3 linked regions of the Kluyveromyces lactis genome follow. Each later gene encodes a partner of the first gene's protein in a complex. Links are inferred from orthologs where the notes say so. Each region holds a gene or a part of one and is shown on either strand. Other genes may lie near its edges.

Evidence for each region. Proteins that work in one complex are often made in the same cells at the same time.
Region 2: RPP0 (region 1) and RPP1A share a complex: the UniProt entries of both Saccharomyces cerevisiae proteins name them as parts of the large ribosomal subunit. The link is inferred for Kluyveromyces lactis from reciprocal best matches to the Saccharomyces cerevisiae genes RPP0 and RPP1A.
Region 3: RPP0 (region 1) and RPL38 share a complex: the UniProt entries of both Saccharomyces cerevisiae proteins name them as parts of the large ribosomal subunit. The link is inferred for Kluyveromyces lactis from reciprocal best matches to the Saccharomyces cerevisiae genes RPP0 and RPL38.

Annotation. Positions count from the first base shown.
Region 1 is NC_006038.1:531,982-535,307, reverse strand, and holds RPP0 (60S ribosomal protein uL10), read left to right. Parts: upstream 1-1,301; coding exon 1,302-2,237; downstream 2,238-3,326. Other genes in the region: ribonuclease P/MRP protein subunit POP6, read right to left, coding at 168-629; KLLA0_B05885g (uncharacterized protein), read left to right, coding at 2,570-3,326. UniProt on the Saccharomyces cerevisiae protein: Component of the ribosome, a large ribonucleoprotein complex responsible for the synthesis of proteins in the cell.
Region 2 is NC_006041.1:1,966,575-1,969,256, reverse strand, and holds RPP1A (ribosomal protein P1), read left to right. Parts: upstream 1-1,621; coding exon 1,622-1,942; downstream 1,943-2,682. Other genes in the region: SIP5 (Sip5p), read left to right, coding at 1-964; KLLA0_E22001g (60S ribosomal protein eL13), read right to left, coding at 2,400-2,682. UniProt on the Saccharomyces cerevisiae protein: Component of the ribosome, a large ribonucleoprotein complex responsible for the synthesis of proteins in the cell.
Region 3 is NC_006039.1:1,609,050-1,611,518, forward strand, and holds RPL38 (60S ribosomal protein eL38), read left to right. Parts: upstream 1-1,492; coding exon 1,493-1,729; downstream 1,730-2,469. Other genes in the region: transcription factor IIF subunit TFG2, read left to right, coding at 1-839; KLLA0_C18238g (PEX28-32 family peroxisomal membrane protein), read right to left, coding at 2,327-2,469. UniProt on the Saccharomyces cerevisiae protein: Component of the ribosome, a large ribonucleoprotein complex responsible for the synthesis of proteins in the cell.

The DNA.
Region 1 (3,326 bases):
ACATGGCAATTGCGATATTGTAGCTATTTACCAAATAAATTGGGTACGATATTTTTTTTGACGATCGGAATTTGTTCACTGTCCGCCCTGACGGATCACAAAGGTATATACAATATGTTTTGACTGGAAGCGTTATCAGTATACTTTAAATTGTGTCAACGTTGAAGTTACGATTGTTTTGTGAATTTATTAAGGCTTTTGACTTCTTGTTTAGTGAATAAGGTAATAAGTATAGGCAAGTTGACTTTTCTATCCAATAGTTCATTACGTCCAGCCTTGATTTCAATAAACGAGTCTAGTTTATTAAATTGATGTAGTGCTTTCCCGTTTTCAGTAGTCTTGAAGATCTCTATTATCGAAAGTGCTTTTTGTACATGAACTCCATAAGCAACAAGTACGAATGTATCAGCAGTGATAGCTGCGAGTTGATCCACACATTGTTTAATATTGGAGTTTTTACTGTACGAAATAATTGCTCCTACAGATGTCTCAGACGCATTGTTCCAACCTGCACTTCGCAGGGTTTCTGGGATGATTTTTTCTTTGATGTAGGTCGAACATTCTACGTAGGTGGAAGGATCTATGCCTTCTACTTCAATTTCGTTATATTTTAGTTTGGAAGAAGCCATCGTTGTTGCTTTGTAGCTAATTACTCAACTAAGGCGAGTTTCTCATCGATTGAATTATCAATACTCAATGCTACGATAACTTGGGAAGTTATTGTAGATTTCTTTTCGACGAGATGGGATGAGCATTGATACGATGAAAGCTATTCTGCGGACTGTTTACACCCTTACATATGTAAAAAATGTCAACACAACACCCATGCACCTTGATAAAACTCCAAAGGAATTAATTTCCTCTTTGACTAGTGGTCACGTGCATTTAAACAATGCAAACCCGTTGTATTAAGCAATACAACGTTAAAGTATTAACAAGTCCGGCATATGGATTGAATCCTCAGCACCAGATGGTTTTCAAGCGTAGAGGGTACATCCTGATACCATTCACTCAAGCTCCTTCTTTTTTATAATATACCATATGAGTTACACCTATTTCTGTATGATTAACGGATGCTTGTTTGTTTTTCATGTGGGCCTTAATTTGGAAATTGGAAAATCTCAAATTTTTCATCGCTGAGGGAAACCAAACTTGAAAAATATTGAATTTTATGATAAAACGTCCTTTACATATGAATATACATAATTGGATGTTAAGTACTTGATTAGATTTGTAGTTTGTATATAGTTTACAAGAACCACAGGTACTACCTTAAACATCCTATCACTAAAAAAGTCGAAATGGGGGGCGTCCGTGAAAAGAAAGCTGAATACTTTGCCAAGCTAAGAGAATACTTGGAAGAATACAAGTCTGTCTTCGTTGTTGGTGTTGACAATGTGTCTTCCCAACAAATGCACGAAGTCAGAAAGAACTTGAGAGGCAGAGCTGTTGTCTTGATGGGTAAGAACACCATGGTCAGAAGAGCTGTCAGAGGTTTCATCTCTGACTTCCCAGACTACGAAAAGTTGTTGCCTTTCGTCAAGGGTAACGTTGGTTTCATCTTCACCAACGATTCCTTGCAAGATATCAAGGAAGTCATCATCGCCAACAAGGTTGCCGCTCCAGCCAGAGCTGGTGCTGTTGCCCCAGAAGATATCTGGGTTCTCGCCGTCAACACCGGTATGGAACCAGGTAAGACTTCTTTCTTCCAAGCTTTGGGTGTTCCAACCAAGATTGCCAGAGGTACCATTGAAATTGTCTCTGACGTTAAGGTCGTTGACGCTGGTAAGAGAGTCGGTGCTTCTGAAGCTTCTTTGTTGAACTTGTTGAACATTTCTCCATTCACCTACGGTTTGACCGTCGTTCAAGTTTACGACAACGGTCAAGTCTTCCCAGCTTCCATCTTGGATATCACTGACGATGAATTGATCTCTCACTTCATCTCTGCTGTCAACACCATTGCTTGTGTTTCCTTGGCTGCTGGTTACCCAACCTTGCCATCTGTCGGTCACTCTTTGATCAACAACTACAAGGACTTGTTGGCTGTCGCTATCGCTGCTGACTACATCTACCCAGAAATTGAAGAATTGAAGGACAGAATTGAGAACCCAGATGCTTACGCTTCTGCTGCCCCAGTTGCTGCTGCTTCCGGCTCTTCCGAAGCTGCTGCTGAAGAAGCTCCAGCTGAAGAAGAAGAAGAATCTGATGACGACATGGGTTTCGGTTTGTTCGATTAAACACCTTATAATTATGGAAACAATAACAATTAAATTTTAAATTCACATATCGGTTTCAGATGATCAATCTGTATCTATAAGTTTAGTTAGTCTTTATTAATTTCTATCTTAAGCGCACAAATCTTATCGCATCAAATTATCGTGTCTTCATGGCGACAATTTATTTGTTTTTTGCCTGTCTAAGCGGTCCGCTCCATAGTAGTGTAGGTCAGATTATTGCTAATATTTGAAGAAAAACTGACGTCGGACACAAACTAGATTACCGTTCACTAACAGTTTGGTCAAAGTTGATGGCATAGCTTAGCAACTAGCACACAGGCGGTCTGATTAAGATGTCTTTATCGGTGAGGAGTCAAAGTCAAGATAATAAAGTCCTCTCAGATCTGTCTGAGAAGAAGTCATTTTTCAAACCTTTCCAGCAAGATAAGGATCTTGATGATAATCTAGTTTCTTTCGACCATGAAAGAGAATTCGTACAAGATCCTACTATTGGATCTAGTATCAAATTGGATGGTTCAGATGTGATAAAGTTTTCAGTTCGTGTTGACGAATCTTTCAGACTAATTTACGATAAAAATAATAATGCTTTAAAAGATGGTTCCAACACTCAAAATAAAAGTGAAGAGGCAGACAGTGAGAATATAGATATCATCGAAGGGGAGTTTTACTGGAAAAAGCTCAATAGATTGCTTGATGAGGACATTCTTCATGTATTCGAACCAAGAACTTCACATTTCATAGATTTCATTAATTGCCTCGGTGATGTCCCTGATTTATCAGATACAGAGTCATCAAGTGGATTCCTAGTTAACGAAGAAGATATAGTAGGCAAACACAAAGAATACGACATTGAGAACAGTTTAGCAGATCTTGGTGAGGTCATTTTGCAATGGGATATGGTATTAGGTATCTTTCAAAAGGTTAAAGATTTGGACATTGAAATGGATGTACTAGAAAAAAGTATAGACCTAGTAGCGAGATTTGTAAACGCTTCCCCAGATAATACTCTCTCAGTACTACTCAAAAAAGCTAAAGAGGAAATTGATAATTCTGAATGTAAATTTGTTGAAGGGAGGGGCAATTGTTTGG
Region 2 (2,682 bases), on another chromosome or scaffold:
TTCATTTCAACAGGACCCAGAAGAATTTGAGGGAGTTCCGACCGGTGATTTAGCCGATGACGAATTTGACTATCTACTGGATAGTACCGCTTCGAAAAGGGAACAAAGAAGGCAAAGGTCGAAAATTTCTAAGGCAAGGTTATATTTCAAAAGAGTTGGTTGGCAGGAGAGGGCAAATGAACGGTATCTTGAGCTGAAACTTATGAACAAAAAACATACGGAAGCAAAGAACCCGGCTTTACCCAGTGATGATTTGAAATATACTTTGTACAAAAATGGAGCAGAATGTCCAATATGTTTCCTCTACTTTCCTAAGCCTTTGAATATTTCCAGATGTTGCAAGCAACCGATCTGTACTGAATGCTTCGTCCAAATCAAGCGTGCCGCACCACACTTCCCGCATGAAGAGGTAGATCCAACTCAAGATCAAGAACCGGACGAATTGAAGGATCCCAACCTTCTTGTCAGTGAACCTGCCAATTGCCCTTACTGTGCCACTGCAGAGTTTGGTGTAACATACGAACCGCGCAGGGACGTGCGGACTGGAATCAACGGGATCTACGCTTCCGAATACAAGATTGCCGAATACAAGGACCGTGAAGGCCTAGTATCGGATTCTAGCAGCAATGAAGATGACGAACTCGTAACTATAGAACAAATTCGTAGGGGCTCAATAGCAGCCGATGATCCGTCTGTGATAACATCCGATTCTATAAGACCTGACTGGGAGATCAATCTAACCAAAGAAAGATTAAGACTCGCTAGAAGATCAGCAAAAGCTACTGCAATACACATGAGTAATCAATTAATTGATCCCGAACACCCTTCTAGACACGCATCCATTTCTTCTTCAGTTGGAGGCCCTGACGGAGGGAATAGTCCTCAACGTCGTCAGAAAACATTAGAAGAACTGGATGACGAAATGCTCCAACAAGCAATCAAACTAAGTTTGCAGGATCATTAACCTAATTTGGAGCTTATTTCATGAACTGAAAGCATTTTCTCCTGCACTGCTGTCTCCTTCATTACCTTCACGACTAACGACAGATACAATCAACACATTCGCAAATTACTTCACTTTGCATGCATCTTTTAACAATCCCATAACTTTCGCATCATACCTTAAGATACAAGGTACACTCATCAGTAACACTGCGCGCGAGTATATATATGTTTATAAAACATAGAATATTATGTGGAATATAGCACCCATCTGCGGACTCACTCCGACTCAATATCAGGGATTCTCCCTTGTACATCTACGCTGACTCTGTACATCCAGCGTTTCATGCAGAAACATTATATCACATCACACGAATTATCATGCCTGACGAAACCACGCAGCTTTTCCTGAAATTTTTCACCTTTCCACGATGAGATGTGAAATATCAATAAAACTTACAGGAGTAACCATTTAACATTTCGATAGGAAAAGTATTTGTTTTACACATGATGGCATTTGTTCAATTTGAAGCTTCTTTTATGAAATATTCTTATTACTTATATCGTTTTATTATTTAGTTTCTCTTATTTTCAAAGGACCAAAGAAATAGTCTGCTTCATTACGAGCTTAATCTGATTATCTCTACACTTGCCAGAACCAGGAAATTTTACATTAGAAATGTCTGTTGAAACTGCTTTGTCTTACGCTGCTTTGATCTTGGCTGATGCTGATATCGAAGTCTCTTCTGAAAAGTTGTTGGCTTTGACTGAAGCTGCCAACGTCCCAGTTGAAGGTATCTGGGCTGATATCTTTGCTAAGGCTTTGGCTAAGCAAAACATCAAGGACTTGTTGGTCAAGTTCGAAGCTGGTGCTGGTGGTGCTGCTCCAGTTGCTACTGGTGGTGCTGCTGCCGGTGCCGAAGAAGCTGCTGCTGAAGAAAAGGAAGAAGAAGCCAAGGAAGAATCCGATGATGACATGGGTTTCGGTTTGTTCGATTAAATTAGGTTAACTTTTAACATAGGAGGAATAAATTCTGTTTTTATTACTAGCGCATTAAGCTACTACTTACTACGTTAAATTTGAGAATCAAATAACACATCATTTGAGTGTATACACAAATATGTATATATAATCAACCGTTTTTAATACACAAACGTCCAATCTTCAAAGCATCTCATCACTAGTGACACTTTGAAATATAAGTAGGATCGTATAAGGTTCCATAATATCATTAGACAAATTGATAATCTGATAATTTGAATTAGATGTAAAATATTATAGTTTATACGTTTTTTTACACGGTAGACAATGTCTCATAATTACCAAACAGGAAACTTATTGAGAAAGGGGATGCGGTGACATTAATTCTTAATGACGGAAAGATAATTTGATTAAAAGATATTTATAAAATAAAACAACGTTTTGTCTAGTATTTGAATAAAAGGTATGGAGTTGCTTATTTCTTCTTTTCAGCTTCAGCTTCAGCCTTGTCCTTAGCTCTCTTTTCTCTGATACCCTTGTATCTCTTGTCGGATCTAGCCAATCTCAAAGTTCTGTAAGCAGATTCACCGTTGTCTTCAACAGCTCTGGTTTCAGAGTCAGTAACTGGTTGGACAATTGGGAAAGAGGCAGCAGCAGACAAAGTTTGTTCAGCTTCTGGAGCCTTACCCTTTCTTGGGAAGACGATGATCTTAGATTGGTATTCCTTCAATCTTTGGATGTTCAAGTCCAAGATTTCT
Region 3 (2,469 bases), on another chromosome or scaffold:
ACGAGTACGTATTCACTGAACAAAATTTGAAGAAATATCAGCAGTTTGCCAAGGAATTGGAGTCGAACCCCGAGTTGCAAAGACAGGCATACATAAGGAAACAAGAAAGAGAGGAAGAGATGAAGAAAAAACAGCAGCAGATGAAGCGTAAGTACAACAAGAGAAGGTTTCAGCACCGTGTCATGACGGATAGGGACGGTAGAGATAGATACATCCCGTACGTGAAGACTATTCCGAAGAAAACTGCAGTGACGGGGAAAGTGTACCACGAATGTCAAGTGATGCCCTCGATAGACGATCCAAATTACCATACAATTGTGGAACATAGAAGACAAATCGTTAGAAACATCCACAAACCAACGGTTACGGTGCTTGACCAAACTCCTGGTGTCACTATGAGTAACGCCGGTATGTCGATGAGATCCGACACTTCCAAGTTCTTAAAAGTTGGAAAGGAAAAGAAGAACAACGCAAGGGCTATCCGTTTGCCAAAGAAGGAACTTTTGGATCTATTGTTCAAGTTGTTTGATGAATACGATTATTGGTCCTTGAAAGGTTTGAAGGAGAGAACAAGACAACCAGAAGCATATTTAAAGGAATCGCTAGATCAAGTTGCTATGCTTGTGAAAAAGGGTCCGTATGCCTTGAAATATACTTTAAAATCGGAATATAAAAAGTTGAAGGAAGCTGAAAGAGCTGCTACGCTTGGTGAATTGGCACAACACGCTGATCCAGAACAACAGCAGCAGATTCAAGACCAATTTGATCAACAACAACAACAGGAGAACGAGCAAGAGGAGGAAGACTTGGAAGACGTGGAAATGGAGGATGTGTTGTAGAACCCTTCAAACATAGTATATATATATATATATATATATATATATACACATAATCATGCCCCACCGGTTATCTAGTAAATGAATGGATATCTTATTCATGATGCTGGCATGTCTAGTCCTGTGATGTATTCTTGTGACCTGAACCAATAGTAGGATTAAAGAATTCAAATCACGTGATTAACAAAGGACTGTCCATTGTTAAAATAACACCCATACACTCCAAACACTGAAAAATAAAAACCCACACATCCGGATACAAAACGAGAAAATTCTCAATTGGGTAGTATAATACTCAAAGAAACCCAAAAAATCTCTAAAAGCCAACCTCCTGACACCCACACACCATCAACTAAACTTTTCACCAATCTCATCGACTGTGCTCATTGAGTATTGTGCAATTGGCAAGCCAGTAAACGTTTAGTTTCGAACAACTTTCGACAGTTTTAACGTTTTAGATTTTAACATTTGTCGTTAATAGTGGTGTTTTGTATATGTCCATTTAGTGTTTTTTTGATGTTTAGCGTTTTTTACATTGTATTATCGGTTCTTGTTTAGTATTCTTTATAACTTTTAATTACAGTTTATTAACTCTTTTGTCTTAATAGTTTCTGTGAATCTCCAAGCATCAACAACTAGGAAGTACATTAACAAAAATGGCTAAGGAAATCGCTGATATTAAGGAATTCTTGGAATTGATCAGAAGACAAGATGTCAACTCTGCTACCGTCAAGATCAACAAGAAGTTGAACAAGAACGGTAAGGCTTTCAGACAAACCAAGTTCAAGCTAAGAGGTTCCAGATACTTGTACACCTTGATTGTTAACGATGCTGGTAAGGCCAAGAAATTGTTGCAATCTTTGCCACCAACTTTCAACGTTAACAAGTTGTAAGGGTAGTCTAGAGAGACACTAATACTTTCTTTAATACCATATCAACTGTTTTTTTTGGAAATTCCACCAATCGTCTGTTTCAACCCATGGTGTGGGGTAAGTACTCTTATTGAATTGAATTTAAATTGAATTTGAATTGATTTAATTACCAGCACTTTGTACTGGCAATTTTTACCTGAGGAACGAACCATCCAGATTGAAATGAACAAACTCGTCAAATAAGTTATAATAAACGCATACTTTTTATCTGCATTCTTTCATTGATGAGACGATAAGATTACTACTCTAATGATGATAATACAGCTTGTATTAAGCGTCCAGTGGTAGGTTTTTTTTACCTGTGTTAATTGTCTTTGCGAGCTTTTAAAGTTTTATTTTGGGCTTCACAAGGAAAAATGACTGAGGTTATACACAGTATGAATTTTCCCTGGTATTATTAGTACAAGCTCTGTTATATCGTCATTATCACTGCATGATTATTATCTCATCTATTTTTTTTATTTGTTTTTGGTATATATGAGTATATAGGTGTGCTTTAAGCACGCTATTCGATACGAGTTGGAAACTCAGGGGACAGGCATACTTCGCTGTGAAATGCTACCTTGGAGTATCGTCGGAAGATGCAAGATTTGATTCGGTGACCCTGGATTTAAGATCTCCAGATGTGTCTGTTGAACGTTGGAAATTCTCATTCGGACTTTCTTCTATCACTTCAGAGTTATCGTCTGTTGTTTTATTCT